Linked DNA regions of Oryctolagus cuniculus. The protein of the gene in region 2 binds, or shares a complex with, the protein of the main gene of each other region. Links are inferred from orthologs where the notes say so. Each region holds a gene or a part of one and is shown on either strand. Other genes may lie near its edges.

The links.
Region 1: KAT14 (region 2) and MBIP share a complex: the UniProt entries of both Homo sapiens proteins name them as parts of the ADA2A-containing complex. The link is inferred for Oryctolagus cuniculus from reciprocal best matches to the Homo sapiens genes KAT14 and MBIP.
Region 3: KAT14 (region 2) and SGF29 share a complex: the UniProt entries of both Homo sapiens proteins name them as parts of the ADA2A-containing complex. The link is inferred for Oryctolagus cuniculus from reciprocal best matches to the Homo sapiens genes KAT14 and SGF29.
Region 4: KAT14 (region 2) and KAT2A share a complex: the UniProt entries of both Homo sapiens proteins name them as parts of the ADA2A-containing complex. The link is inferred for Oryctolagus cuniculus from reciprocal best matches to the Homo sapiens genes KAT14 and KAT2A.
Region 5: KAT14 (region 2) and DR1 share a complex: the UniProt entries of both Homo sapiens proteins name them as parts of the ADA2A-containing complex. The link is inferred for Oryctolagus cuniculus from reciprocal best matches to the Homo sapiens genes KAT14 and DR1.
Region 6: KAT14 (region 2) and TADA2A share a complex: the UniProt entries of both Homo sapiens proteins name them as parts of the ADA2A-containing complex. The link is inferred for Oryctolagus cuniculus from reciprocal best matches to the Homo sapiens genes KAT14 and TADA2A.
Region 7: KAT14 (region 2) and TADA3 share a complex: the UniProt entries of both Homo sapiens proteins name them as parts of the ADA2A-containing complex. The link is inferred for Oryctolagus cuniculus from reciprocal best matches to the Homo sapiens genes KAT14 and TADA3.

Annotation. Positions count from the first base shown.
Region 1 is NC_091443.1:39,322,967-39,327,134, forward strand, and holds the start of MBIP (MAP3K12-binding inhibitory protein 1), read left to right. Parts: upstream 1-1,368; 5' UTR 1,369-1,458; coding exon 1,459-1,587; intron 1,588-4,168. UniProt on the Homo sapiens protein: Inhibits the MAP3K12 activity to induce the activation of the JNK/SAPK pathway. Component of the ATAC complex, a complex with histone acetyltransferase activity on histones H3 and H4.
Region 2 is NC_091442.1:43,070,543-43,074,589, forward strand, and holds the start of KAT14 (cysteine-rich protein 2-binding protein), read left to right. Parts: upstream 1-1,247; 5' UTR 1,248-1,372; coding exon 1,373-1,631; intron 1,632-4,047. Other genes in the region: protein PET117 homolog, mitochondrial, read left to right, coding at 934-1,083. UniProt on the Homo sapiens protein: Component of the ATAC complex, a complex with histone acetyltransferase activity on histones H3 and H4. May function as a scaffold for the ATAC complex to promote ATAC complex stability. Has also weak histone acetyltransferase activity toward histone H4.
Region 3 is NC_091450.1:7,541,753-7,545,961, reverse strand, and holds the start of SGF29 (SAGA-associated factor 29), read left to right. Parts: upstream 1-1,409; 5' UTR 1,410-1,628; intron 1,629-2,839; exon of another isoform or gene 2,840-3,005; intron 3,006-4,122; exon of another isoform or gene 4,123-4,209. UniProt on the Homo sapiens protein: Chromatin reader component of some histone acetyltransferase (HAT) SAGA-type complexes like the TFTC-HAT, ATAC or STAGA complexes.
Region 4 is NC_091448.1:20,670,861-20,674,945, forward strand, and holds the start of KAT2A (histone acetyltransferase KAT2A), read left to right. Parts: upstream 1-1,285; 5' UTR 1,286-1,350; coding exon 1,351-1,689; intron 1,690-1,829; coding exon 1,830-1,953; intron 1,954-2,206; coding exon 2,207-2,352; intron 2,353-2,439; coding exon 2,440-2,529; intron 2,530-2,712; coding exon 2,713-2,894; intron 2,895-2,974; coding exon 2,975-3,166; intron 3,167-4,044; coding exon 4,045-4,085. Other genes in the region: HSPB9 (heat shock protein beta-9), read right to left, coding at 1-289. UniProt on the Homo sapiens protein: Protein lysine acyltransferase that can act as a acetyltransferase, glutaryltransferase, succinyltransferase or malonyltransferase, depending on the context.
Region 5 is NC_091438.1:77,320,208-77,324,352, forward strand, and holds the start of DR1 (protein Dr1), read right to left. Parts: upstream 2,801-4,145; coding exon 2,581-2,800; intron 1-2,580. UniProt on the Homo sapiens protein: The association of the DR1/DRAP1 heterodimer with TBP results in a functional repression of both activated and basal transcription of class II genes.
Region 6 is NC_091448.1:38,175,175-38,178,674, forward strand, and holds part of TADA2A (transcriptional adapter 2-alpha), read left to right. Parts: intron 1-1,473; coding exon 1,474-1,584; intron 1,585-3,419; coding exon 3,420-3,491; intron 3,492-3,500. UniProt on the Homo sapiens protein: Component of the ATAC complex, a complex with histone acetyltransferase activity on histones H3 and H4. Required for the function of some acidic activation domains, which activate transcription from a distant site. Binds double-stranded DNA.
Region 7 is NC_091441.1:116,929,346-116,932,845, forward strand, and holds the end of TADA3 (transcriptional adapter 3), read left to right. Parts: exon of another isoform or gene 1-177; coding exon 178-287; exon of another isoform or gene 288-582; coding exon 583-768; exon of another isoform or gene 769-1,699; intron 1,700-2,334; coding exon 2,335-2,527; 3' UTR 2,528-3,080; downstream 3,081-3,500. UniProt on the Homo sapiens protein: Functions as a component of the PCAF complex. The PCAF complex is capable of efficiently acetylating histones in a nucleosomal context. The PCAF complex could be considered as the human version of the yeast SAGA complex.

The DNA.
Region 1 (4,168 bases), on a different chromosome or scaffold from region 2:
GAAAACTTCTAAAACTTTCAAGTGATAATTTTTAATGTTAAGTCTAAAACATTAGCAAGCCCTTCAAACACCTTTATAAAAATCAATCTGAGAATGTTTTTGCCAAGTTTAATTAGGTTTTATGCCCTTCTAATTCAAAGATTGTGATCTGTGTGAAATTTAACCTGGGTTAAATTCCTGTTGGAATCACATAGACAGTGTTTTACTTCTTTGAAACAATTTAAGGGTTGAGCATCTTTAAAGTTACCACTCAACTGCTGCACACTTTAAAACCTGACAAATTATTTAGCAGATATGTTCCAGGACAACCACCCCAAACTCTTGGAGCTGTCGTTATAGAACCCCCAAGTCTGGGTCCCCTCCCAGGGGCAGCTGTTGCCATTTCCCTGCTGGAGCTCCCCCGGGGAATTTGGGGTGTTTTTTTATAGACTGAAATTGGAGCTGAGAGGTGCAGGGTCAGCTCATGCTCAGGTTCCCGGTTGGTCAGTGTGCTAGTGAGTTTTCTTTGATTGGTCTGTGATGCTGTGCTCCTTAGAGAATTTTTTTGATGCCCAGGTGGGCTTCTGTTGGCCTAGGAGAGGTGAAGGTGGGGCTTACAAGCAAATGGTAGTTTCCTTCTACTCCAGACCTGGAATTCCCCTAAACAACTCCTTCCAAGCAGTGCTGGCCAACAAGGGACTCCTTGAGTCCTGTGAGTGGAACTTTGTCGGGTCAGCTGTATCTCTCCCCAGTTCAGTGAATTCCTTTTGATACCCGACAGGCAAGGACACCTTGGGCTCCTGGAGACAGACAAGAGGCTGGGCCCTGTCTTTCCATTATAGGGGTTCAATCTCAGATCACAGTCAGTCAAGTCACGTCGTCCCCCCCATAGAAAAGCAAGGCATAATGGAGCACAGTGTTCTTTTACCTCCTCCTTTCCCCTGTATGAAAAATTAGTTGTGTTGACTTGTGTACGTTTTAAACAGCCCTGTAGAGTTGTGCACGTTCTATCCACTTAGAAGTTTCTTAGTGTTTAGAAACACGTGTGGCACCCACCCATTCTGACCAGCAATCTTTCTCCAAACCACGCCATACTGCCTTGTTAAAATTTCGAATGTTAACTTGGGGCCTCAAACTCTTAACATTAAAATCTAACTCTCCTCTTAACCAACACTCAGAAGAAACCTTTAAGAGTCAAAATAGGCTCCACGAGGCTGTCAGCTGACTACAACCCCAATCACCGCTCCAAATAGAGAATCTAGCCTGGCGCCAGTCAGCAGTTACCAGCTTGGCGCAAAGCTGTAGTTAACACTTGATTGGTTAACATGCCTGTCAGTCACACGGGGTAGGTGGGGCCGCAAGCCCTATCTAAACGAGACGCTTTGTTTTTACGTCATCGGGGAGCGACGAAAGCAGGAGAGGGAGGGGTGGAGTAGTGAGTGCATCTCGGCGTTGGCGGGGGCGGCTTGCGAAGGTGTCATGGCCGCTGCTACCGAGCTTAGTTACCCGAGCATCGGTGACAGGGACCTGGAACGCAGCTGCAGCCCCAGCCTCTCCCGAGAGGTGCTCTGCGAACTCTTTCGCTCTCTGCACACCCTGGCTGGACAGGTGGGTGGTGGCCCGGGGAACCGGGGCAGTGGGCCGTCCGCCCTTCCCCCACTTGTCCCTGTGGCGGAGGCCGGCCGGGGGGCAGCCGGCGGCGGCCGTGCCCGCCCTCGCTCGGTACCGGCTGCGGTCCAGATGACCACGCTGCTGTCCTCTCAGAGAGGGAGCGAGGGTGGTCCGAGGGGAAACCCAGTGGCCCGCGGAGCAGGTCTGCAGGGAATGGAAGCAGAAAAGCTTCCGTCGGGGTTTAGGGGTGCCTGCTCTCGGGGTCTTGTTCCCGGCAGCTTACTCCTTCGAGAAACTGGGTGGTCGGTCAGTACGGACTGAAGTTTTTGGAAAAGCGACCCTCTGAGTCACTTGGTTTTCTTTCTGGTTGCCCTGTGGGTGTGTGCCCATCTGTTACACTTTGCATCAGGGAGTAGAGTAAAACGGTTAATCAACTTCTAACTTAAAGTTGCTGTTTGCGGTAGAACTGCCGTCTGACGAGGTGTTCAGGAAGGAGTTTAATTGGCTCGTAAACCGCTTTTGCAGACCTACCTTATAAAATGGATTTTAAAAGGTGGGTTCTTAACACTGATAGTCAGTATTGAGATTCAAGCTGTAAACTTCGGATTGAATTTTAAACGAGGAATAGCCTTGCGGTGTGTTTGTCTGCCTCTTAGAAAGAAATAATTTCTTCCTTATCTTACGGAGACAATATTTTACTGTAACTTTGTTCTGGGACTGTTACTAGTGCATGTGGTGAAAACAGGCATTTGTGTCAAAGATAAGTTCCTATGAAATTGGAGCATTTGTCTGAATTCTGAAAATTCCCTTTTAAATCCTTGAGGGTATGGAGAGACACCTTTTTAAAAAGCTGTTGGAGTATTTTTAAAAAGCTTGGCATGTTGTGGCTTATAAAGAACATTACTGTAAGTAAGCATTCTGTTTTGTGTAATGAGGCAGTTATTAATAGAGTCTCCTAAGTGGTACACCTTGTAAACTCGGTGGGTTGCCAAGGACGTGGGTACTTCTGATGGTTATTAGAAGACCAAGGACCTTTTAAATGGTTGAAAAGTTACAGAACTTTTTATGGCTTGGACATTGGAACATTACATTTTATTCATATTCTGATATCAGGTTGAGAAAAATGTATGGTCATCCATTATTTGTAGAGTTCCTCCTGCCCCAGTGATAGGATATTTGTACAAATTCATACTGAGAGATAATTTAAACATTGCTTTTGAAATATTTGCTTGTTGAACTTTTGAAACTTTTAAAAATTTTAATTCAGATATTCTAATAGTACAAGTAGAAAATTGATTACAGTTTACTTGCGTCACCTGTCAAAAATGTTTAGGGTAAAAATTTGGTGAGGTTTTCTTGACATAGGCAAGGGACCTTCTATATAAGTATCAAAAATATGATTGCCTCTCAATTCACTGCTAACCATTTTGATGACAATCTGTAGTTTGAGATGTATTGTTTAAGAATGAAAGTCAGAGAACCATGTCCACATCAGTGTTTCCTTTTGCAATAAGTTTAAAGTTTTTTTAGCATGTATGTTGTTATATGCCCAAGTTCATACTAGATATCATCGTATTATTAACTCTCAGTTGGAAGCATAAAATTGTATGTTTTCTATTCCAGATGGCAAAATTTACTAATTTTTATCCTTAATGGGCTTATAGATGGTTCATTTTACCAAACTAAATTTAATGCTTGCTCAGATTTTCATAATTTAATAAAGTTTTACTGAAAGTACAGATTTAAATAGTCCAATTAATTGCAAACTGATAGACTTTTGACTGGTTTACTATTCCAAGTTTAAGAGAAAAATGCATAGAATTTATTACTAAAAGGGAATTTGTTGACTGAATTTTGGATAAATTGGGATAGTTTTAGAACGAATTTGCAACATTATTTTGTGGTTTTCTTAAAAGACCAAGTATCCTTAATTACCCTTAAAAGCTTCCATTATTAATTGAAATGAAGTTGTAATCCAGACATTAGGATTTATTTTCTGTAAGGTGTTTTCTCCAGAAGATGTGTTGCCTTGCCTTGGTTGAGGATTTCTTTGCTTTCTTCCAAAACCACATCCATCAATTTATTGTAACCAACTATAGATCTCTTTGAGGGCTGTAAAATTTTGGTATTGGGTTACTTCTGTACATGATAGCAGATGTCTGACAAAATTGTTAAAGTCACTATAATATTAACTAATCTTTGTGTACAGTTGTCTAATATTGGACTTTAAATGCTTCTGGTGTCATGTTCAGAGAGCGGTAAGGTTCTGTCACATGTGTTCATTCAATATGGTGTTTTTATTGGTAACCTTGAATCTGATTTCTTGCATAGTGATTCATCTTTTTGTTTTATTATAATTATAGCTCATAAGATCTGTATTTGAATTGGATGTAACACCTTTATTTATAGAAAAACGTTATTTCTGAAAAATATAGTTAAATTGATTCTTAAACACATGTTCCTAGAAAAGTTTCTGGTGATTCACTTTTCACTCAAAGATTGCAAATGGCGGTTTTCATTCTAAAGTAGATATTAGCTTTATAGATTTTTACCGTTTTCTAAATATGATTTTGTTCTG
Region 2 (4,047 bases):
ATATGGACACCAGTTCGAGTCCTAGATGCTCCACTTCTGATCAGGCTCTCTGCTATGGCCTGGGAAAGCAGTGGAAGATGGCCCAAGTCTTGGTCCCCTGCACCCACATGGGAGACCTGGAAAAAGCTCTTGGCTTCCATCTGGCCCAGCCCTGGCTGTTTCGGCCATTTAGGGAGTGAACCAGTGGATGGAGGATCTCTCTCTCTCCCTCTCTTCCCCCCCCCCCCACCTTCTCTCTCTGTAATTCTGCCTTTCAAATAAGTAAATCTTTATATAAAAAAAAATGGAGCAGCTGGGGCTTGAATCAGCACTCTGATGTGGGATGTTGGTGTTGCAAGCAATGCTTAACTTGCCAAGCTGCAACACTGACTTTGGCCTTTTTATTTTATTTTTTTTCTCTGCTAGTAGCATTCCTTTTCCCTCCCTCCTTTTCTCTGTTATATAATTATTAATTTTGTATAATTTTTACCATTTCACTTTTCTGACTAGAAAAGCTGATTCTTGTATTAATTGTTCAGACTAATATTTTTTCTTCTGGTGTTTATTATTCAAGCTAGGATGATTGCTAAGGGAAAAGTAGTTCATAGTATTACTGTAGCAACTCACCAAGTTTTAAATATATCATATATTGGTTAAACTTTTTAAATGCAACATAGTGCCAGTTTTTTCTTTTTTGTTATTCCCACTAAATTTTCTGTACTAGGTCTTCAGGAATTTCTTTAAAAGTGGTACAAAGTCATTTCAGTAATAAAATAGCACACCACCAAATTTATTTGGTGGTTTATTACATTTTACATTTGTACAGAAAGTTAAAATAGTAATTGGGTATCTGTTTTAAGCGTATTTTGGTAACACTGTTATTTGGATTTGAAAGGCACCAGGGTGGGAACACCTGTTCGGGGTGTTACTGAAATCTGTTTCCTACGTTTTTAGAGGCTTCGTGACGGAGTGATCCGAGACATCGAGAGGCAAAATCGGAAAAAAGAAAACATTCGTCTTTTGGGAGAACAGATTATTTTGACTGAGCAACTTGAAGCAGAAAGAGAGAAGATTTTACTGGAAAAAGGCTCTCAGAAAACATGATTTGAAATGACGGTGAACTGTTGGAAGGACAGCGTGCAGTGTGTGTGTGTTGATGGAGAATAGCTTAAGGACCTTTTTTTGGTCATTGTCCTTGTAAACTTATCAAATAGAGGATAATGGATCATATAATCTACAGTGCTGCTGTAAAAATTCCTTCTGTCTGAATGAAGAAGCCGTGGGCGGGTGCCCTCCTGAGGAGCTTCTGTCTCTGTGGGAGCGCATGTCAGCTCAGCGCTCAGAGCGTAGGATTGGCGCTGAGAAGCACTCCTGAACCTGTGAGAAGGAAGGAATGGATAGCAGCATCCACCTGAGTAGTCTGATAAGTCGACACGACGATGAAGCCACGAGGACGTCCACCTCGGAGGGGCTGGAGGAGGGGGAAGTGGAGGGGGAGACGCTCCTGATTGTCGAATCAGAGGATCAGGCATCTGTGGACCTGTCTCATGACCAGAGTGGGGATTCCCTCAACAGCGACGAAGGAGATGTGTCCTGGATGGAGGAGCAGCTGTCCTACTTCTGCGACAAGTGCCAGAAATGGATACCAGCCAGTAAGGAGCTTCTCCATTGCTTTGATTTGTCAATTCCGGTGTGAGGGTTTCTTTTTCCAGGATAGGAAAGAAACATGAATGTAAGATAGACCTAAATGAAAGGATAATTATCATATTATTTAGTTTATTAACCACAAACTTACATAAAACGAAGGTGCTCTTGAATTAATAAAAGTTATTATCAACCTCTTTCACATGGTTAAATTAGTACTCTTAATAGTAAACCAGTAAAAATTGGAAAATTGTAAATCCTGTGTTAATGAATTAGCCACATTTTTCTAACATTTGTGACCAAATCTAATCCCATTGTAGATTTCTTTGTTTTTTGTTTAAAGATTTATTTTATTTTGAAAGAGCTACAGAGAGGGTGGGCTAGCACTGTGGCTCACTTGGTTAATCCTCCGCCTGTGGCACCGGCATCCCATATGGGCATCGGGTTCTAGTCCCAGTTGCTCCTCTTCTAGTCCAGCTCTCTGCTGTGGCCCAGGAAGGCAGTGGAGGATGGCCCAAGTGCTTGGGCCCTGCACCCGCATGGGAGACCAGGAAGAAGCACCTGGTTCCTGGCTTCAGATCAGCGCAGTTCTGGCCGCAGCGACCATTTGGGGGGGGTAAATCAACGGAAGGAAGACCTTTCTCTCTGTCTCTCTCTCTCTCACTGTCTATAACTCTACCTGTCAAATAAAGAAAAAAAAAGAAGTAAATCAAAATGATCTGCAGGAAGAGTCAAAGACTATGAGGAAGGGGTAGGGGTGGAGGGGAGATTTGTCAGAAACAAAAGAAAGTGAAGGGAGGGGGGCTTGGTGTCGAGAACCCCTCACGTAGGAGGCACCAAAACACCAGCACTGTGGTGCTGAGCTCAGAAGGAACTCGGAGCCAGTCCATCAGAGCCCCCTGTCTGCCCAAGACGCGCCACACACTGGCCCCGGATTTACTCGGGCAGTAGACACACTAGAAGATGTCCAAAAACAAGGTCTCAGCGTCTCCTCCATGTGCTCTGCCTGCTCCTGGGTGCACTGTCTATAACTCTACCTGTCAAATTAAAAAAAAAAAAAAAAAAAAAGCTACAGAGAGGGAAAGAGAGCGCTCTTCCATCTGCTGGTTCACTCCTCGGATGGCCACAACCATGAGGGCTGGGCCAGACTGAAGCTGGGAGCCAGGAGCTTCCTCTGCTTTCCCACGTCGGTTGCAGGGACCCAGACACTTGAGCCATCTTTGCTGCTTTTCTCAGGCCATTAGCAGGGAACTGTGTCAGAAGTAGAGCAATTGTTAGAAGAACTGGTGCCCATTTGGGATGCCAGCCTTGAAGGTGGCGGCTTTACCAGCTGCACCACAACACATTATAGATTAAAGTTCAAGTTCTTGAAAAGTACCCTGTTAATATTTAACTATGTGGAAAATGACTGCTGTTTGCTACAGCTCAGCATGAGCAGGTTAAAGATGCTTGTGCCCCTTTCCTGGGGTGGTCTTGTTTCTCACCTTCTGGCCTGCCCCCATCTGCCAGCACACGTATTCCCAGGTTGCTTCATTCTGAGCTTTGCCAGCCATCATGTGATTCGTACCCAACAGGACTGGGCCATTAGGCAAGGGCTTGAAGAGCTGTAGGTACTGGAGGAATGCTTTTGCAATAGAATTCATAACAGACAAATTTATATGTATGAAGGGTCTTTGAACAGTTATGGAAAACTCATATTATGGAAAAGCTGTACCTGGATCTCAAAACTGTTTTGCACCCAAATAAACTTATCTTTTAATTCCATTTTCCCCGAGCTTTCTGAAGTACCCTTGTGCATGATTGTGAAGTGGGCCATTTTCTGGGATTTGGAAATGTTTTTGTTAAAATGGGTTCAGCTATTCCGATTAATAGTTGCCATTTGTAAGTTAATGATGGCATTTTCACAGAAAACATGCCTGGAATGTGCTGCTTACTACTGGCTGTTGCTTCTGAGCTGTCCCTAGCGATTCAGGGTTCTGCTGAGCGGCTTTCCCTGTCCTTGCAGGATCAGTGCCTCGCTGCTCTCATGGTCAGGCCCCTGCTATCGCCCTTGGTTCCTCCATCCCCACACAGAGAGAGAGAGCTTTGGGAGAGCTTTCTTGTGCCGAGGATGTGGCCTGTCCTGTGTCTCCTCTGCAGTCTGTGTGCCCTCCCCTGCATGCACAGGCTCGCCCCTTCACCGGGCCAGCTTCGAGTTCTCCCTCACGTGCCCCTGGGACCCAGCCCTCTCTTTCTAGCTCCCCTGTCTTCTTATTGGGTTGGACACCCTGTATTGTGCCCTCACACTGCCCTGTGGTTGCATCACACTCCACTCCCGTGTCTTCATGTCACCTGGGGACTGTTAGGCCGAGGGCCGGGCGCCACTCCAGAGATGGATTCTTTTTGTCTGGGGTAGATCCAGGCACGTTTAGAGAAGCAGAAAGC
Region 3 (4,209 bases), on a different chromosome or scaffold from region 2:
CCTCCACCTGTGGCGCCAGCACACCAGGTTCTAGTCCCAGTTGGGGCACCGGATTCTGTCCTGGTTGCCCCTCTTCCAGGCCAGCTCTCTGCTGTGGCCCGGGAGGGCAGTGGAGGATGGCCCAAGTCCTTGGGCCCTGCACCTGCATGGGAGACCAGGAGAAGCACCTGGCTCCTGGCTTCGGATCAGTGCAGTGCACTGGCCGCAGCGGCCATTGTGGGGTGAACCAACGGAAAAGGAAGACCTTTCTCTCTATCTCTCTCTCTCACTGTCCACTCTACCTGTCAAAAAAATCAATTAATAAATATATACTTTCCTAGGGGTTGTGTAAAAAATTGTGATGCTAGGCCGGCGCCACGGCTCACTAGGTTAATCCTCCACCTTGCGGCGCCGGCACACCGGGTTCTAGTCCTGGTCGGGACACCGGATTCTGTCCCGGTTGCCCCTCTTCCAGGCCAGCTCTCTGCTGTGGCCAGGGAGTGCAGTGGAGGATGGCCCAAGTCCTTGGGCCCTGCACCCCATGGGAGACCAGGATAAGTACCTGGCTCCTGCCATTGGATCAGCGCGGTGCGCCGGCCGCAGTGTGCTGGCCGCGGCAGCCATTGGAGGGTGAACCAACAGCAAAGGAAGACCTTTCTCTCTGTCTCTCTCTCACTGTCCACTCTGCCTGTCAAAAAAAAAAAAAAAAATTGTGATGCTATAATGTGGGGCAGGCGTTTTGGCTGAGCAGTTAAGAGGCCACTTGGGCTGCCCACATCCCACATCAGAGAACCTGGGTTTTGGCTGGGCTCTGCTCTCACTTTCAGCTTCCTGCTAATGTGCACGCGGGGAGACAGCAGATAACAGCTCAAGTAGGTAGGTCTGTGCCACCCACGTGGGAGACTTGGATTGAATTCTGGGCTCTTGATTTCAGCCTGACCCAGCCTTGGCTATTGCTGGCATTTGTCGGGTGAACCAGTGGACGGGATATATCTCTGTATCTCTCTGCTTTTCAATTAACATAAATAAATAAAGTTTGCAAAATACTATGACCGCCTTCTGATGAACTAAATATTTGCATGTGCATATCCTTAATACTTTGGGAAGACTCCCTGAAAGCATGATTTCTGGCTCTAAATATCGACATGTTTTTTAATTAATCCTTGCTTTTTAAAAATCTGCCTTTATTTTTCCAGAGCATTTTTAGGATCATAGCAAATTTGAGCTAGAAAGTTTCCGTATATCCTGCCGTCCCCCCAACCACAAGATGCTCACTCTTAAATTGCTTTGCTTTTTGTTTTAAAATTGAGGCTTTTTGAGAAGACGCTAAAATAAATCAATAATAAATAAGTCTTGCAAAATGAAGTTTCAGTTAAGAGTTGGGCACAGGTGTCAAACTAAAAACTACATTTCCCAGGGGGCAGCGCAGCACGTCACGGCGGGAGGGTCGCGCCTGCGCAGACGGGTCCGCCGCGCTCGCCTAAGCTCATAAAAGGGAAAAAAAGCGTGTGTGGTTCTCGACGTGCCGCGAATCTTCGAACGCGAGTGCGTTAGCATCCGCAGGCTCGGAAAAAGCGTTCGAGGGACCGCGCCTGTTTCTCCGTCGCTGTTTCCAGCGCGCCGAGGTTACTTCGCCCGGGACTCGGCAGGTGGGCATGGGTCAGGCCCGCGGCCGCCGGAGAGGCTCGGGAACCAGGGCACCGGGTCCTTCCTGCGCGCCCCCGTCCCCCGTCCCGGCTTCGCCTGAGGGGGCGCTCGGTGGGGTGCGGCGCGCACGCGCCCTGGGCGGGAGAGGCGGGGTTCGGCTCGCGGCCGTGGCGGCGGGGCCCGCGGCCGGGCGGCGTGGGGTCTGCGCGTGCGCCCTCGGGCCCCGGGGCGCGAGAGTGGGGAGCCGCGGCGCGCGCAGGTGCGGTGCTCGGCCAGGTGCGGCCGGGCGAGGCGAGGGGCGCGGCCGGGACTGCAGCATCCTTGCTGAACCAGTGCCAGGGTGGGGCAGCGCACCCGCCAGCCCGTCCACTGTCCTGACACCTGCAACCACCTGGTTTGCGCAGGTGTGTCGCCCAGGGCCAGCACGCTTCCTCCTCAGAGCCTCTAGCAGCAGCGCCCGTGCGTGGCGGGAACGCCTCTCCCCTTGTCCCGCTGGCCGCCCCTTTGCTTTTAATGCGTGTCCCACCCCAGAGCTGCATCCCAGATCTCTTCTCTGTGGCTGTCCGCTCCCTAGACATTCCCGATTGACGCTTTAAATACCCTCTGCGGTCCTGCCAACTTCTTGGATGCCTGTCTTCAGCCCGTGGACTCCCTGCGGAGCGCGCTCCCTGCTTTGAAATGGCTGCTTGGCCTCCCGGAATGTGTCCAGAGCTAATTTTGAGTTTTATCCTTTGCACATCGGTGCCTTCCCTCGTCTGTCTTGTTTTTCCAGCTTCTCGGGCTGGAAAGCTTGAGCTATGCCTGGTGTCTTTGCGTCTCAACTCCCCTCCTCCTCCATCCATCTCAGTCAATGTTGATTGAGGCTTTGAAATTTCGCTACTTGATGGGTAGCTGTGGGCATCCTCTTGGCCAGCGGCTGAGTCCTCTCTGACTGGGGTTTGTTTTTTTGACATCTGGCATCATTGTATGTTCAGACTTGCCTGGTCCTTTTTTGTCTCTTTTAGTGCTTTGTGTTACCTGCAAGTAAGTTTTTGGAACTGTGTTGTATTCCTTTCTGGACTGTGTCCCAGGTCTTCCATTGCTGGTTCACTCTCCAAATGGCCACAATAGCCGGAGCTGTGCTGATCTGAAGCCAGGAGCCAGGAGCCAGGAGCCAGGAGCTTCTTCTGGGTCTCCCATGTGGGACTTGGGCCATCTTCTACTGCTTTCCCAGGCCACAGCAGAGAGCTGGATCGGTAGAGGAGCAGCCGGGTCTTGAACCAGCGCCCATATAGGATGCCACCACTGCAGGCGGAGGCTTAGCCCACTACGCCACAGCGCTGGCCCCTCCTTGTTACTTCTAATCTGTCAAGGTTCTCCAGGGGCCAGCACATGGCACAGTGAGTAAAGCTGCCGCTTGCAACAGCAGCGTCCCACATGAACGCCTGTTTAAGTCCTGGCTGCTCTGCTTCCCACCCAGCTCCCTGCCAAAGCACCTGGGAGGCCAGTCGGTAATGGACCAAGTGCTTGGGCCCCTCCCACCCACGTGGAAGACGGGGATGGAGTTCCGGCTCCTGGCTTCAGCCTGGCGCAGACCCAGAAAGCAGCCATTCGGGGAGTGAACCACAGGTGGAAGATTTCTGTCTATCTTTTCCTTTCTCTCTGTCACTCTGTCTTTCAGATAAGCAAACAAATTTTTTTTTTTTTTTTTAACAATGTTCTCCAGAGAAACAGAACTGAACAGTTCTCTGTAGTTAACACAGAGAGAGATGTGTGATGATGGCCTGGGTCACAGGACGGTGGAGGCTGAGCTGCCGTCCATGACTCAACACCTGCGCATTCGAAGCCCAGCAAAGCCAGTGCCGTTCCAGTGCAAGCCCAGAGGCCTGAGAACCAGCAGGCTGGGCGATGCCCATGCTGGAGGCACCCTCCCAGACCCACCTGCAAACAGTGTCTCACCAGGCAGGTTGACACATAATAGGCACCATCACATTTTCCTGTCTCTTTTTTAGTTGCCATGGTGATCACCATTTTTCTGGTGACACTTTTGGTATAGTCACAATAACCGACCAGTTGATGGGTGGTGTGTAAGAGACGAAATGCTCCTACTTCTGTGAGTTGTTTTAGGACTGAGCACGTTGAAGTTGTGGCAAAATTGGAGTTCAGAGGAAGAGCGTAGGTTTTAGAATTGGCAGCCTTGTAACCCCACCTCAACTGCTTTTTGCTGTTACCTTGTTAAACGTAACCCGTCTGAACCATTTTTTGGTTGGTTGGTTTTTTTTTTGTGTTTTGTTTTTTTTAGTATTTATTCATTTATTTGAAAGGCAGTTTTAGAGAAACAGGGAGAGGTGGAGAGAGGGGTCTTCCATCCATTGGTTCATATCCCAAATGGCTGCAGTGGCCAAGACTGGGCCGGCTACAGCTGGAAGCCTGGAACCACATCCAGGTCTCTTCCCAAGTGGGTGCAGGGGCAGGTACCTGGGCCGTCTTCCACTGCTTTCCTGGGCTCATTAGCAGGGAGCTGGATTGGAAGCAGAGCAGCTGGGACTCAAACTGGGGCTCGTGTGGAGTTGCTGGTGTCACGAGCAGCAACTTAACCTGCTG
Region 4 (4,085 bases), on a different chromosome or scaffold from region 2:
TGCGGTAACCACCCAGTCCCGGGTTGCCGTACTCCCACTGCCGCTGGCCGGTCACCGTCAGGTTCTGCCCAGTCACCTGCACCACCAGCTCCTCGGGGGCGAAGCCCTGCGCGTCCATCTTCATTTGGAAATCGTCTGCGGCCCGGCCATGGTCCTGCACAGCGGCCGGGTGGTCCCTCAGCAGCTGCACCGGCAGTGTGGCCACCTGATTGCGTTCAGCGAGGGCCACACTGGGACTCCTCGACGCCACCTGGTTCCCGTTGGAGAAACTGCTGCCGACCCGCTGCATCCAAGTGAGCAACTGCTCTTCAGGGGCACGAGGCTCCGAACGCAAGGCCCGAGCTCGGCCAGGCGTGTGGACTCCAAGGAAACGGGAGCGGGGTCCTCACGAGGCCCCGCGCGGCTCCCCCGGGTCGGGTTGGGTCGGGTCGGGTCAGGCGGGGGCAGCTCATTCCCTTTGACTTCCGCAAACTTCGGCTGGGTCCGGGGTCAGCTCTGCCCGTCCTGCCTCCAGGAGCGGGCTGTCAGTTGCTCAGGAGCACCCGCTATACTTTTACCCTGGCCCTGCCCTTTCTCCACCACGGCACAATGGAGCCACTGAAGAGGCTGGACGCCGGGAGCAGACACTCGGCAGCCACCGACCGGCCAGGGGCAGGGAAGCCCATTGCTGGCAGAGACAGCGGGCGGGGTCCTCCAGGTCCTCCATCGCGGCGTGCCCTGCTTCTCCCTGAGCACACGCACGAGGGAGGCGGGCACATCCCTCCCTGTCCTCGGGGTCTGGGGCCACAAAGATGATGGCGCGGGCATCCCGCGTCCCAGTGGTTTTCCTTGTCGCTGCTGCGACCACAGCCGCGCCCCTGGAACTCTGTGTTTTGATACTAAATTCTCTCCGTTGAAGGATAACAAAGTGCACAACGCAGTACAGGTGGATGGTACACAGCGCACGCCCGGGGTAGCCACCGAAGCTCAGAGCTTCGGCCACGTCTCAGCCCCTGTGCGGCTGCAGCCCCGCGTCTGGGCCTCACGGGATGGGGCCTCGGCCCCCGTGGGGGGCGCCTATTTCCTGGGATGCACCTCCCTGTCCCTAAGACGGCAGCAACCGGAGCCGTCCCGGACGCCTTCCAGATAAATTGGGAGCCAGGAAGTCTGGGGTGCTAGCTGGGGCTCCCCTTGGCTGCCTGGTACCAAGAGAAAGGACGGAAAAGTCTGGAAGCTGGAGGCCAGGGGCGCGGCGGTGGAAGACTACAACTCCCGTCGTGCGTCGGGCCTGTGGCGCCTGCGCACTGCGCACCGGTTGCCCATGCGGCCCTAGGGCTGGGAGCGCGGCGCCGCTCCGCTGCGGGGGAGGCCATGGCGGAACCTTCTCAGGCCCCGGCCCCAGTCCCGGCTGCGCAGCCCCGGCCCCTTCAGTCCCCAGCCCCTACCCCAACTCCTACTCCTGCGCCCAGCCCTGCTTCAGCCCCGACTCCGGCTCCCACTCCGGCACCAGCCCCCGCCCCGGCTGCAGCCCCAGCCGGGAGCACAGGGACTGGAGGGCCCGGGGTAGGAAGTGGGGGAACCGGCAGCGGGGGGGATCCGGCGCGACCTGGCCTGAGCCAGCAGCAGCGCGCCAGCCAGAGGAAGGCGCAAGTCCGGGGACTGCCGCGCGCCAAGAAGCTTGAGAAGCTAGGGGTCTTCTCCGCTTGCAAGGTGGGGGCGGGGCCTAGGGTGAAAGGGGCGGGGCTTGAGGGCATCCCTGGGCTCGGGTGGGAATGGGGGGCGACGCTCTGGACGCTTAGCGGCCCCTGCCCCTGGGGTGCGGGGGTCGTTGACTTATCTCCTGCCTCCAGGCCAATGAAACCTGCAAATGTAATGGCTGGAAAAACCCCAAGCCCCCTACTGCTCCCCGCATGGACCTGCAGCAGCCTGCTGCCAACCTGAGCGAGCTGTGCCGCAGCTGTGAGCACCCCTTGGGTAAGGCAGGCAGCGCCCTTGCAGGTGGTGGGCGCCAGGTGCTGGGGCCTGCTTGGACAGCCTGATTTCGCTGCCAGGAAACCTCGTCTCAGGACCTTAGGAGGTGTGGGGTTGGGGGCAGGCAGGCCGAGAGGGAGGAGAAAGGGAAAGTGCCAGCCGGGAAGATGCGGGGCCACCTTTGGAAGTCTTGGCTCCCTGCCGAGCAGGGCGTCCATGCCTCCCCACCCCGCGGCCCGGGCTGGCTGTCTTGCAGCTGACCACGTGTCCCACCTGGAGAATGTGTCAGAGGATGAGATCAACCGGCTGCTGGGGATGGTGGTGGATGTGGAGAATCTGTTCATGTCGGTGCACAAGGAGGAGGACACGGACACCAAACAGGTCTACTTCTACCTCTTCAAGGTGAGCTTCCGCGAACGGGCGTGAGTGGGGGGCAGGGGGGCTCTCAGTTCTGATGCTCCCTCCCTCCCTCCCTCCCTCTTCCTGCAGCTCCTGCGCAAATGCATCCTGCAGATGACCCGGCCTGTGGTGGAGGGGTCCCTGGGCAGCCCCCCGTTTGAGAAGCCTAATATTGAGCAGGTGGGGTGGGGCACGGGGAGCTGGGTCCTCCCTCCTGCTCTAGCTGAAAATCAGAGGGGATCAGCCGGGGGCGTGTGTTCTGTGCTGACTGCAGAGTGGGGTGGAGGAGGGGGGGCACTTTGTCACGAAGCTGGCTTCTTAGCCCTCCTCCCTGGATTTGTTCCCCACCCCACCCCTTCCCAGGGTGTGCTGAACTTCGTGCAGTACAAGTTTAGCCACCTGGCTCCCCGGGAGCGACAGACCATGTTCGAACTCTCCAAGATGTTCCTGCTTTGCCTTAACTACTGGAAGCTGGAGACGCCCGCCCAGTTCCGGCAAAGGTCCCAGTCGGAGGATGTGGCTACCTACAAGGTCAATTACACCAGGTAGGCCCTGCCCGGGCGGGGGCTGGGGGGGGATTTGTAGACCTCCCCATGTGCTCTCACCCTGCTGTCCCCACCCCCAGGTGGCTGTGTTACTGTCACGTGCCCCAGAGCTGCGACAGCCTGCCTCGCTACGAGACCACTCACGTGTTCGGGCGAAGCCTCCTCCGGTCCATTTTCACTGTTACCCGGCGGCAGCTGCTGGAGAAGTTCCGAGTGGAGAAAGACAAGCTGGTGCCGGAGAAGAGGACCCTCATCCTCACCCACTTCCCCAAGTAAGGCTCGTTCCGGCCCACTGCGAGTTTGCCCCAAGTTCACGTCCTCCCTGTTGTCCCCTTTTTTCCAGGAAGCCTTCCTGGATTGGTCCCTCCTCTCCCTCCATGGGCCTTCTGGGATCTGGGCGTCTACCTGGCAGACTTGCCCATGGCCCAGAAGCAGCTTGCTAGTAGTTGCCTTTGCACGGCCTAGTCTGGGGATGGCAGGTACATGGCCCCGGCTAACGCTGCCCCTCCCACACCCTGCTAGGCGTTACTAATTGTTTCCCATGGGGGCCTGGACCCAGCCTCAGAATCCCTCCCACCACAGAGCTCCAAGAAGCCAGCGCTGACACCTGAGGTGACAGCAGTGTCCGCCCCGCGCTAGTCCTTTCTGTGCCAGTGTCCCCCCGTGTGCCACACCTCTCTCCCATCTTAAGCCTGGCTCGTGACTTCTCTGTTCAGAGAGCCTTGGCTGTCAAATCCGGGCCCCTGAGTGCCCCTGCCACCAGGTGGGAACAGGAGGTGGTGAGTTGGGGTGGATTCCTAGTCATCTTGATGCTGCGGGGAGCAGGGGGACCCAGGGGGACGTGGTGCCCTGCCTGGCTACGGGGTTGGTATTTAGCTCGGGCCCTGTGGCCCTGTGCTGCCCGAGATGGCCAAACTGGGCCCCTTTGCTTGGTGTGTCCGAAGCTCTCACCTTGCATTCGAGGCTCCCGGGAGCCAGGGGGCCGTGCCTGCCCCTGTGGCCAGGGCTTCCCGCAGGGCAGAGCTTGCTCTCAGACGCGCCTCGCAGGGTCTGTCTCTGGCCACGGCACAGCCGCAGCCCCCCGGGGGCCCGGCCCAGGCCGCCTTTGGCGGGAGGGCGGAGTCGTGGACAGACGGCGCCCTCCCCCCAGGTTCCTGTCCATGCTGGAGGAGGAGATCTACGGGGCCAACT
Region 5 (4,145 bases), on a different chromosome or scaffold from region 2:
AATTTTAACCTCTCAAAACAAAACTACTTTAAAATTATTAAGCAATGAGCTTATAATCATACAAAATTTATCCACCAATTGGGACAAAATTTCAGATTCTTACCACTTAACAATAGTAATACCACAAGGAATAAAAAGATAAATGTATAAAACTATAAAAGCTAATAATTTTTAAATTAATAAATCATCCTTATTACACAAGGAAAATGCTTTCACTGTAACTTTCTGTCTCATACATTAAATTGAATTTAACATATTCCAAAGTTGAACTATTTAGCACACTACAGCTGCACTTTTACTCCATCATGTCAATCAGAAATCTAAATATATCCTAGAAAACAACAAACTTTCTCCCAAGACAGACTGTAATGTGTTATTAGATTTTTGGAATGACCCCTACTTCTGTAGTGTAAACAAATGTTTAGCCAGATCCTGTTGAAATCTTTTGCAACTTTCATTAGAAAGGCAATATTTACAAGAGATCCTTTTCCTTTTTTATGAGTTGCAAAGGAAAATTATAGCTATCTGTGTTGAATACTCTTGTGAAAGACTGACGACAGCAATCACGCATACAACTGTAAAAATAAAAACACAAGAGGAAAAATAGACACCTTGGCTTTCATTCTACTTGCTGTAGTATTCAGCACACCAACCAGGTAGAAAAAAAAATATTAGCTTTAAAAATCGAACATGATTTTTTTCCTAGGGATTTTTTTCCTCATTATGTACTGAAAGGGCAGGCATTTGGCAAAACAGTTGGGTCCCCGCTTCCGACACCCACATCACCTAAAGGAGTACTTGGTTCAAGTCCTGACTTCTCTGCTTTGGATCCAGCTTCCTACTAATGCACCTGGGAGGCATCAGGTAATGGCTCCAGTATTTTTTTAAAGATATATTTATTTATTTGAAGGTTAGAAAAAGAAAAAAAGAAGATTCACTCCCCAGATGGCCACAATGGCCAGGGCTGGGCCAGGCCAAAGCCTGGAGCCAGGAGCTTCATCTGGGTCCACCCACGTGGGTACATGGGCCCAAGCACTTGGGCCATCTTCCACTGCTTTTCTGAGGCCATTGGCAGGGAGGTGGAACAGAGGTGGAGCAGCCAACACTCCAACCGTAGCCCATACGAGATGCCAGCACTGCAGATGGTGGCTTAACCCGTTGTGCCACAGCGCAGCTCTGTCACTCATGTGGGAGGCCCAGATGGAGTTGGCTTTGGTCTGACACAGCCTTGGTCTGCTGGGAGCATTTGGGGAGTGAACCACCAGCAGATCGATGAAAGATCTCTGTCTTTCTGTCTTTCAAATAAAATGAAGGAAAAAAAAAAGTTTTAGAACTACCTTCAGGATATCACAAAGAATCAACAATGAATCATTTAATCCTTTCATCAATATTGACAATAAAAGATTGGATATGATCAATAAAAGCAGAAATGTTCTGTACTTCATTAAAGTCACCTTTTAAAAAGTTAAATTCTAAAATTGAAATTGTAGACAACTGCCTGTCTGTCAAAATGATTAAAATTAACCATGATTTTTTTCTGATTTCAAAATCAATCATTAGATTTTAATTAGGTATTATAAAAAACAAGTTTTCACCTCAAACTTTTTCATTAAGAGTACATGTACAAGTCATAGAAAGTGCCTTCCAAAACACTGTGACTTGTAAGTACACCACCCCTCGCTAAAACCATCAAAATCCAGTCTCCCAATTCCATAATACCGGACTAAATCCTTTCCAAGTTTGGAGAAAAGGAACTATTGAAACTTTCAGAAGTGCTATTCAATAAAAACTTAAGTGCTACATCCAAATGGGAATGGAAGCAGGGAAGGACGGGGAAATGTTCCATTTAAAAAAAATCTCTTATATAATCTTTCAATCCAGGTTTTTAAAATCTATCCCCAAAAAATAAAGCAAGCAACATAAAAGCAAAAACAAACAAAAAAAGAAAGAACACTCGCCCTTTTTTTTTTTTAAAGAAAACTGAACAGGCGTGCATTACTAACTTGATGAACCTACCACAAGCAAACCATTTTTAAAGGAGAAAATACACTCCCTTTGTTCAACACCAATTAACTTTTCTTTTAAAAACATTCACGTAAAGAATTCTGCTATTCATGTAATCAGAAAGTGCATCTTCTCGTCCACATTGTTGTGCTGGGACTCCGCTCATGCCTGAAGTTTCTGTCTGAACTTTAACTTTCCAAGGGAGAAGAACTGGGCTCCTTTCCCACTCGTCTTTCTTCTCCAACTCCCACTTGGGGCTGCCAATCGTGGTTGCTCTGGCTTCCCCGGCTGCAGATGGAGACCCCCACCAACACTTTCCCTCGTAGGGATGTTCGCTGACCTAAATGTTCTCCCGACAAGTACTCGCCGGCTGAAGGTATGGCAAGAATGCTAGCTACACAGGTATGTTCTTAAGGCACCAGCTGCTCCCAGGCGCCCGTGGCTTTTTCATTAACAGCACTCACCGGGGAAGAGATCCGAAGGCGTGGGCACGAACCGGTCCCACGAACCGTAAACAGCGCCCCCTTCCCCCGCGCCGGACCCTCACGGAAACCAAATCCCATTCAAGCGACTCACCTTGGATGACGTGCTCCGGCGAGATGGTCTTCTTTTCCGATTTGTTGCAAATCTCGTTGGCTTCAGAAGATATAAGGTGAATGAATTCAGTGCAGCAGTTCACCACCAGCTCTCGGGCATCGTTGGCCACCCGGACATTGGGCAGAGTCTCTTTGATCATCTTATTGATAGCAGCTCGAGGGATCGTGAGATCATCATCGTTGCCAGACGAGGAAGCCATCGTACCTTCTTGTCTCCCGCGCGCCCCGACTTTTCAAAAAAACTCCCCGGCCCTGGTCCCCTACTCCACGGAAATTTGTCAAAAGGCCGCCCTGATGCCGGGGGGCGCTCTGAAGAGGGTGTAGAAAAATGAGGAAGGGGGAGGAGCGCGCCCTCGAGAGGGCGGGGAGCCCTCTGGTGTGTGATTTAGGGCGAGTTTGGGGAGAAAGTCGGAGGAAGAGGGGGGTTCTGGGGACAGCACTGCTCAAGCTAGGGAGGAGAAAGCACGATGGTCTGGAAATTGGCTGGAGAACCACCTTCGGTATCCTCTCAGAGGGGCGGGCGCTGTCGCCTAACCAAGTCCCCAACGGCGCTGGAGCAGAGGCAAGATCCAGGGGCACTGGCCTCGCCGCAGGACCGGGCGGACACCCACCGGGCTCGGCTCTACAGAGCCCGAGCCCCCGCTGCCGCCGCCGCCAGCAGCCGTTGCCGCCGCCTCTGCCGAACCATCCTTCAGACACCCGCGCCGCCGCCTCACAACATGTCGGCCGCGACCGCTACTGGAACCGCGGCGGACGCCTGGGAACGAATACGGACAGAGCCAGGCACCGGGGGTGCCGCAGGGGCGGCCGGCGTGGCCGTTTAGCTCGAACGCAGATCGTAGAAGCCGAGGCGGCGGCAACGGTGGTCCCTTCTGAGCCCAGGGAAGAAGGTTTGCTGGAAGCCGCTCCCGACACCCTTTGCGCCACCGGAAGCCGCTTCCCCCCAGCTTCCCCCACCTCCCAGACCGACTTCCGGGTGTGGCTACCTCCCTTCCCCCACCCTCGTGGGCGGGAACCGCCCGTCCTCGCAGCCAGCCGCTTCCGCTCGCTGCTGTCCCAACACACGCGCTGGGACCCGGGACCCCGTTCCCTGGCTGGGGCTAGGGCTGGGGCAGGGCGAGCGTGCGCCTCGCTGTAGCGGGGGTCCCAGTCACGCGCTTGCTCTGCAGCTGCAGTGCCAGACCCGGGAAGGGCCGGCTGGAGGGCCGGGCGAGAGGAGATCGACTCAGGCCTGGAAACAGTCAGTTAGCTGCGTTCGGGGACAAAGCAGGGCCGGGTATTGTCAAAAGAAATCTACCCAGTTACCCGAATTGGGATTGACATGGAAAGGAGCAGGGTCTGGGCCCAGGAGTGGTAAGCGGGGAAAGCAGACCCCCACGTGCGTGTGCTTGCACTGTCTTGAAGAGGAAGCTTTGCAGATATGTAATTGATGTTATTCGGATCAAAGCTCTCAGGGCCTCCACCTATTTTCTCTTTCATGGGAGACAACTTAAGAGAAGTCACGAAATGGCTAAGCCGGAAACTGGAAGTCAGACGCAACGTATT
Region 6 (3,500 bases), on a different chromosome or scaffold from region 2:
CCAGATGCAGGGCTGAGGAGAAGCCCTGTTACCTCTCAGAATGTAGAAATGCCAAGTGCATTTTGTTTTCAGTGATATTCAGTTGCCACTATACTGAATGAACTAGTGACTGTAGTATGGTAGGTGGGTTTTTCTTTTTTTCTTCAAATTTTTAAAATTGTACTCCAAATTCTTCTGTGGTATCCCCTTAGTGAGGACTATTTTTGAAGTCAAAATAACCAGACTGTGGCTCCTCATCAAATTCATTTTTGGTATTTGTGGATAAAAATGTCCCCTATGGGGCTGGGGCTGTGGCATTGTGGGTAAAGCCACCGCCTGCAGTGCCAGCATCCCATATGGGCTCTGATTCGAGTCCCGGGTGCTCCACTTCCGATCCAGCTCTCTGCTATGGCCTGGGAAAACAGTAGAAGATGGCCCAAGTCTTTGGGCCTCTGCACCCACGTGGGAGACCTGAAAGAAGCTCCTGGCTCCTGGCTTCAGATCCGCCCAGCTCTGGTTGTTGTGGCCATTTGGGGACTGACCAGCAGATGGAAGACCTCTCTCTCTCTCTCTGGCTCTGCCTCTGCCTTTCTGTAACTCTGTCTTTCAAATAGATAAATAAATCTTTTTTAAAAAAATAGGAATGTCTCCTGCAAGGGAACAAAACGATGGATCTGGAAAGCGGATTAATTTAGATAACTGTCATCAGTGAAAGCCTGTATCTTTAGTCCAAGACTAAAGTCCATTGCCCTGTTGATTATCTAATTGAGATCAAATAGCAGCTCGAGATATCCTGGCTATGCTGACCTTCCAGCTGTTGGCAGTCGCCCCTCACCTTGGCAGAAACCTCTTTTGGTAAGAAGTTTGGTCAGAAGTGGTCCTGAGAGTTGTTGGCCCTGGTTACCCTGCATGTGTGACCATTTACTTGGGCCTTAGTGGTCACAATATAGCATCATTAGTAGTGAATTACATTGCAGTGCTTAATTTCATTTAGAGAAAGGCAAAATGGTCTGCAGGGGGGATGAAGAAAAATTCCTCATTTGAGGATGTGTAGGTAAGGAGAACATTCCAGGTAGGGTATACAAGAGAGCACACACTTTTTCCCAGCCCATATAGCTCCTCTAGTGGGCTATTGTGTTTGCAGATTCCTAATTGCATAAATTTGGCTAGCATTGTTTCTAAGAATGCAAAATCTGCCTTTATGTTATCGCTCCAGCCCCCCTTGCCAGCAGTTCCTGCCCTAACAGTGAAGTGTGAGAGTGGAGATGGTCTAGCGATAACAAGCCCTTTGTGTGGTAGCTGCTGTGATGCTGTGACTGTTAGGAGTAGCGTTTTGGCATTCTTGGCTTTCTGTTTGCTTCCTGTCCTGGGTACGTTAGTCATGTGAGGTTAGGACTAATATCCTTCCATTTGACTTTTTATTTTTTTTAAATGCAGAAAATGTCAGGATCCTCACGTTCTCCACGACACACTTGTGTTTTATTTTCTCTATAGTAATGGAACGGCGGTATCCCAAGGAGGTCCAAGACCTTTATGAAACAATGAGGCGATTTGCAAGGATTGTGGGACCAGTGGAACATGACAAATTCATTGAAAGCCACGCACGTAGGTGGTTTTAGAGCCTTGTTGAGCTGGTATCTGTGTGTGTGTATGTGTGTGTGTTTATATAAATAGAGGGTGTGTTTTGTGTGGAGTTCTGTAAATAAATAGATATTTCTCTTTGTTCCTTCTTATTACTATGAGATAAATGTGAGACTGTGGGAATACGACAAGAGAATAGAAAAGTAGAGGTAATATAACGAACTCCATGTTTCTGTATTGAAACTAGGTTTTAAAATGGGAACAGAATTAGGTAACTCATAGGAATAGTACCTTCATCATTCATTCTCTTGCCTTTCGTACCCCTAAGAGAGCTCTGCCCAGTTACCATTTCATTTTCAACAATAAAAAACCAAAGTGGTTAAGGGATCAAGACCTTTCAGACCAACTCAGTTAGGAGGCTTAGTCTGTATCGTTCATCAGGAGTTTGTGTATTTGGTTCCCAAGCTTTAGTTTGTTTGTTTTTTTTTTTTTTTTTTTTTTTTTTTTGACAGGCAGAGTGGACAGTGAGAGAGAGAGACAGAGAGAAAGGTCTTCCTTTTGCCGTTGGTTCACCCTCCAATGGCCGCTGTGGCCAGCGCACCGTGCCTATTCGAAGGCAGGAGCCAGGTGCTTCTCCTGGTCTCCCATGGGGTGCAAGGCCCAAGGACTTGGGCCATCCTCCACTGCACTCCCTGGCCACAGCAGAGAGCTGGCCTGGAAGAGGGGCAACCGGGACAGAATCCGGCGCCCCGACTGGGACTAGAACCCGGTGTGCCGGCGCCGCAAGGCGGAGGATTCAAGCTTTAGTCTTGAAAGGTTCTCTTCCAAGGCTCTCCATTTTGTCCTCTTGCAGCTACTTCTTGTGTAACATTGCAAGCATTTGTCTGAGCCAAGTTGATTGTCCTCACCAACACCTTCTTTGGTTGGCGTTCTTGATGTCATTTGTACTGAATGCCTGATCGTTTACTTCCTGTCCCATTTTATGTGTCACTTCAGAAAACCACACCCCATAGGTGCCTAGGCTCTCCTTTGTCCTCTGCTTCAAAAGCACCCACATGTGAGTGTTGTATCATATCATAGCAACATGACCTGTGTTCAGAGGAGGCAGAACCTTTTGGTTTGTGGAAAACACAATGCTCTTTTGTCACTACAGGAGAAGAGCTCTGAAGAAACTAACTGGGGCTCACATACAGAGCTTTTGTCCTTCCCTTGTGCAAGGGCCACATTAAGTAATCCCAGAGATCTCATAAAATCTCAGTCAAGTGAGTAGAACTTTCAACAGAAGATAGGTAGAGCAGGAAAAACTCGGGGACTTAAAAGATGACATTCACGGGACAGGCGGCTGTCACTGCTTGGGACGCCTGCCTGGTTTGAGTGCTGGTTCCTCTGCGTCCAGTCCAGCTTCCTGCTAATGTGCACCACAGGAGGACGCAGATGGTAGCTCGGGGACTTGGGTCCCTGCCACCCCTGGGAGACCCAGGTAGAGTTCCAGGCTCCAGACTTCAGCCTGGCCCAGCTGGCTGTTGTAGGCGTTTGGAGAGTAAAGCCGGGATGGAAGATATTTCTCTGTCATTTTGAATACTGTTTCAGGTTATATCGGTAGCTCTGGTAGACAGATGAGTTCAATCAGTTCGCTGTAAGTTTTGTAGGAAACAAGCCATCTGTCTCTTAGAGACAGCAGCCAGAAGAGGTTTTCTCAGCTCTTAGGTAAAATTTCTAATGAGAAGTTATCAGCAGATAGGATTCCCCAAGTGAAATTGCCCAACCTTTTCCAAAGCAGAATGACTGAAAACACATAGCAGAAGTGCTCATTCATATTGGTTATTTTTTTCAATTTTTCTTCTTCTTGGGGAAAACAGTGGAATTTGAGCTCCGAAGAGAAATCAAGAGACTCCAGGAATATAGGACAGCGGGCATTACCAATTTTTGTAGTAAGTATG
Region 7 (3,500 bases), on a different chromosome or scaffold from region 2:
CCCCTACCACCACCGAGGGTCACCACCGCTCCCCTGTCCCTGCCAGAGCGAGGGACTTCCGGCGTGAGGGACGCTGCCCGGGTCCATGAGGGGAGCTCTCGGGGCCCCGGGGCCGGGGCAGGCAAGGAGAGCAGGTTGCTGGTCTCTGAAGGCTGTCCTGTCGCTGCTGCCTTCCAGGAAAATATCATCTCCCCCATGGAGGACTCGCCCATTCCTGACATGTCTGCGAAGGAATCGGGGGCCGACGGGGCCAGCACCTCCCCCCGCAATCAGAACAAGCCCTTCAGGTGAGTGTCGTCCTGTGCACACCCACAGCTGGCACCCGCATCCGTCCGTGTTGGCATCAGGAAGGCCCCCGCCTACAGGCCAGGGGCAGTTCAGTTGTGCCCGGGAGAGGTCTCGGGTGGGAAGGCTGGCCCGGGGCTCCGACCCGGGCGGAGCGAGGTCGTCCGTCGCACGCTGACAGGATGCTGGTGCCGCGGCGGCAGCCCGTGTCTCCGTGTTTCTGTGTCTGGATGCACGGCGCGGGCGGGCACCTCCGAGGCAGAGACCCCGGCTGGCACTGGCGTCCTTCCCCGACAGTGTGCCCCACACCAAGTCCCTGGAGAGCCGCATCAAGGAGGAGCTGATTGCCCAGGGCCTGCTGGAGTCGGAGGACCGCCCCGCGGAGGACTCCGAGGACGAGGTCCTGGCCGAGCTGCGCAAACGGCAGGCGGAGCTGAAGGCCCTGAGCGCGCACAACCGCACCAAGAAGCACGACCTGCTGAGGTGAGCGGGCGCCCCTGGAGAGCCGAGAGCAGCAGCAGGTCCCGGGATGGACGGGCGGCCCCGGTCCTTACGGTGAGAGGGGCAGGCCGACCCTCGTGCCCGTCGCTCCACGCGGGGCGTAGCAGCAAGGACGTGCGTGCTCCGCTCTGCTGAGCCTCCTTGTGCCGCTCGGTGTCACGCCCACGTGCGGTCACAAAGTACTTGCGACAGAAAGTCTCGAAGAGTGGGTGCCGTGCGCAGGCTGCTCCGGTGACACTGGTGGACATCTCTGGTTTTTATTGGCCCATCACCAGAAACCACCCAGTGCCGTGCGCTTCATCACCTCCCGGCCACCTGGGGCCGCGGGGTCCCCGTGAGGACACAGGTGGCAGCAGGAGGGAGACGGCGCCAGGAGCTGCCCTCCCTCCTGGGAGGCAGTGCAGCAGCCGGGAGCCCGGCCCCTGGCTTCTCGCAGGAAGGTGCCATGTCTCGGCCTCACACAGCTCCTCTCTCACACGCTGGGCTGGGGGCTGGGGGCTGGGGGCTGGGAGGAGGCAGGCAGAGGACTTGCAGGCGTGCTTAAGGGGAAGGAGACTCCTTCAGTCCCAGCCAGCCCGGGTGCCGGTGTTCCCCGTGCTCAGCAAGTGGTAGAGGAGCCTCCTTCGCTGGAGGCCACACAGCTGGCAGACAGCCCAGCTGAGGCTCGAGCCCTGCACAGCGTCTGATTCTTTATAGTCCATGTTCCTCCCAGAGATGAGGAGACACGCAGGTGAAGGAGGAAGCAAGGGAAGAGAGAGAGGGAGAGGAGAGGGCGTGCAGTACGGAAACACCTCGGGGGCCAGTGCTGCGGTGCAGTGGGTACGCTGCTGCTTCCTACAGGGGCGTCCAGTATCTGAGCTCCGGTTCCAAGTCCCAGCTTCTCTGCCTTCTATTCGGTTCCAGGCTAACGCACCTGGGAAAGCAAAGGAAGATGGCCCAAGTGTTTGGACCCCTGCACCCATGTAGGGGAACTGGATGGGGTTCCAAGATCCTGGCTTCAGCCTGCCCCAGCCAGTTTTACTTATTTATATGAAAGTAACAGCTACAGAGAGAGAGAGGGAGAGACAGATCTTCCATCTGCTGCTGGCTTATTCCCCAGAGATGCAATGGCCCGAGCTGAGCTAGGAGCACCATCTGTGTCTCCCATGGGGGTAGAGACCCAGGCACTTGGGACATCTCCCACTGCTTTTCCCAGGCCATTAGCAGGGAGCTGGATCAGGAGCAGAGGAGCCAGGGCTTGAACCACCACCCTAAAATGTGGGGCTGCCACTGGGAATGGAGGCTCACCCGCTGTGGGTCAGCGCCAGCCCCGGTGCAGATACGTTTTTAAAGACTTATTTTTCCCGAGGGGTTTGAAGTTCATAGCAAACTGTAGAGGAAGGGACAGATTTCCCACATAGCCTTTCCACACCCACGCACAGCTCCCCCTGTGGCCAACGTGAGTTAATATTTGAAAGAACTTAGAGTAGTGCCCAGCGCACAGTGCCAGTGAACCGTGGCTCATCGCCTTTGCCGTGGTCATGGGCGCGTGGCCGGCTGTCCCCACAGGCTGGCGAAGGAGGAGGTGAGCCGCCAGGAGCTGAGGCAGCGGGTTCGCATGGCCGACAACGAGGTCATGGACGCCTTCCGCAAGATCATGGCCGCGCGGCAGAAGAAGCGGACCCCCACCAAGAAGGAGAAGGACCAGGCCTGGAAGACGTTGAAGGAGCGCGAGAGCATCCTGAAGCTGCTGGACGGGTAGCCCGGGCCGCCTGCCCCGCCTGGGTCTCCCCCCCCCACAGCCTGGGGCTCCCCTCCCCTGCAGCCTGGGTCTCCCCTCCCCTGCAGCCTGGGTCCCCCCTCCCCTGCAGCCTGGGTCTCCCCCTCCCCTGCAGCCTGGGTCCCCCCTCCCCTGCAGCCTGGGTCTCCCCCTCCCCTGCAGCCTGGGTCCCCCCTCCCCTGCAGCCTGGGTCCCCCCTCCCCTGCAGCCTGGGTCCCCCCTCCCCTGCAGCCTGGGGCTGCTCACTGGGCCTGACAGGCAGCCTCCTGGGGACGGGGGATGGAGCCCTGCGGGAGTCTCCTACAGCCGGGATGACGGGGTCGGGTCGCAGGAGGCCCTGCTGGGCTGGCCTCGGGCCCAGCTCCTGCTCAGTCCCTGGAAAGGGGCGGGGCTTCATTTCTGGCTCTTTCTACTCCCCTTCTCTGCATCCCCCTCCCTGAAGCCCCACCTCCCCTCCCCCTCAAGGACTTCTCCCTTGTGGTTTTGTAAAGTGCAAACTTAAGAATAAAGTGACTGCTGTGGTTTTTCAAAAAAAGCATCCACACTCTGAATGTCAGCTGCTGTGGGTGGGAGGAAGCGGGGGGCGGGGGGCAGTTTCGGGGCGTGCACACTGGTGCTCACAGGAGGAGCTCTGCGGACACGTAGGGCTGCAGGTGACTGCTGCCAGGGGCTCGTGGCTCAGGTTCAGAGGTCCGGCAGCTCAGCAGCGCCGCCGCGACTCGGGTGTCTCCACGTGGCCTCCCCCAGGGTCAGCTTCGGCCTCGGGTGGGTTTCCCTGCAGCTACTGGGTGGCAGCAGGTCGCGCTCAGCGCAGGAGCGAGCAGCAGCTGGCTGGTCTCACAGCTGGTTCCCCAGTCACTGTGGCAGGAGATGGTGCTACAGGGCTAGGGTCAGAGTGGGGCCTGCTACCCTGCTCAGCCCCGGCCTGGGGGAGAGAGAGGATCTGTGTGGGAAG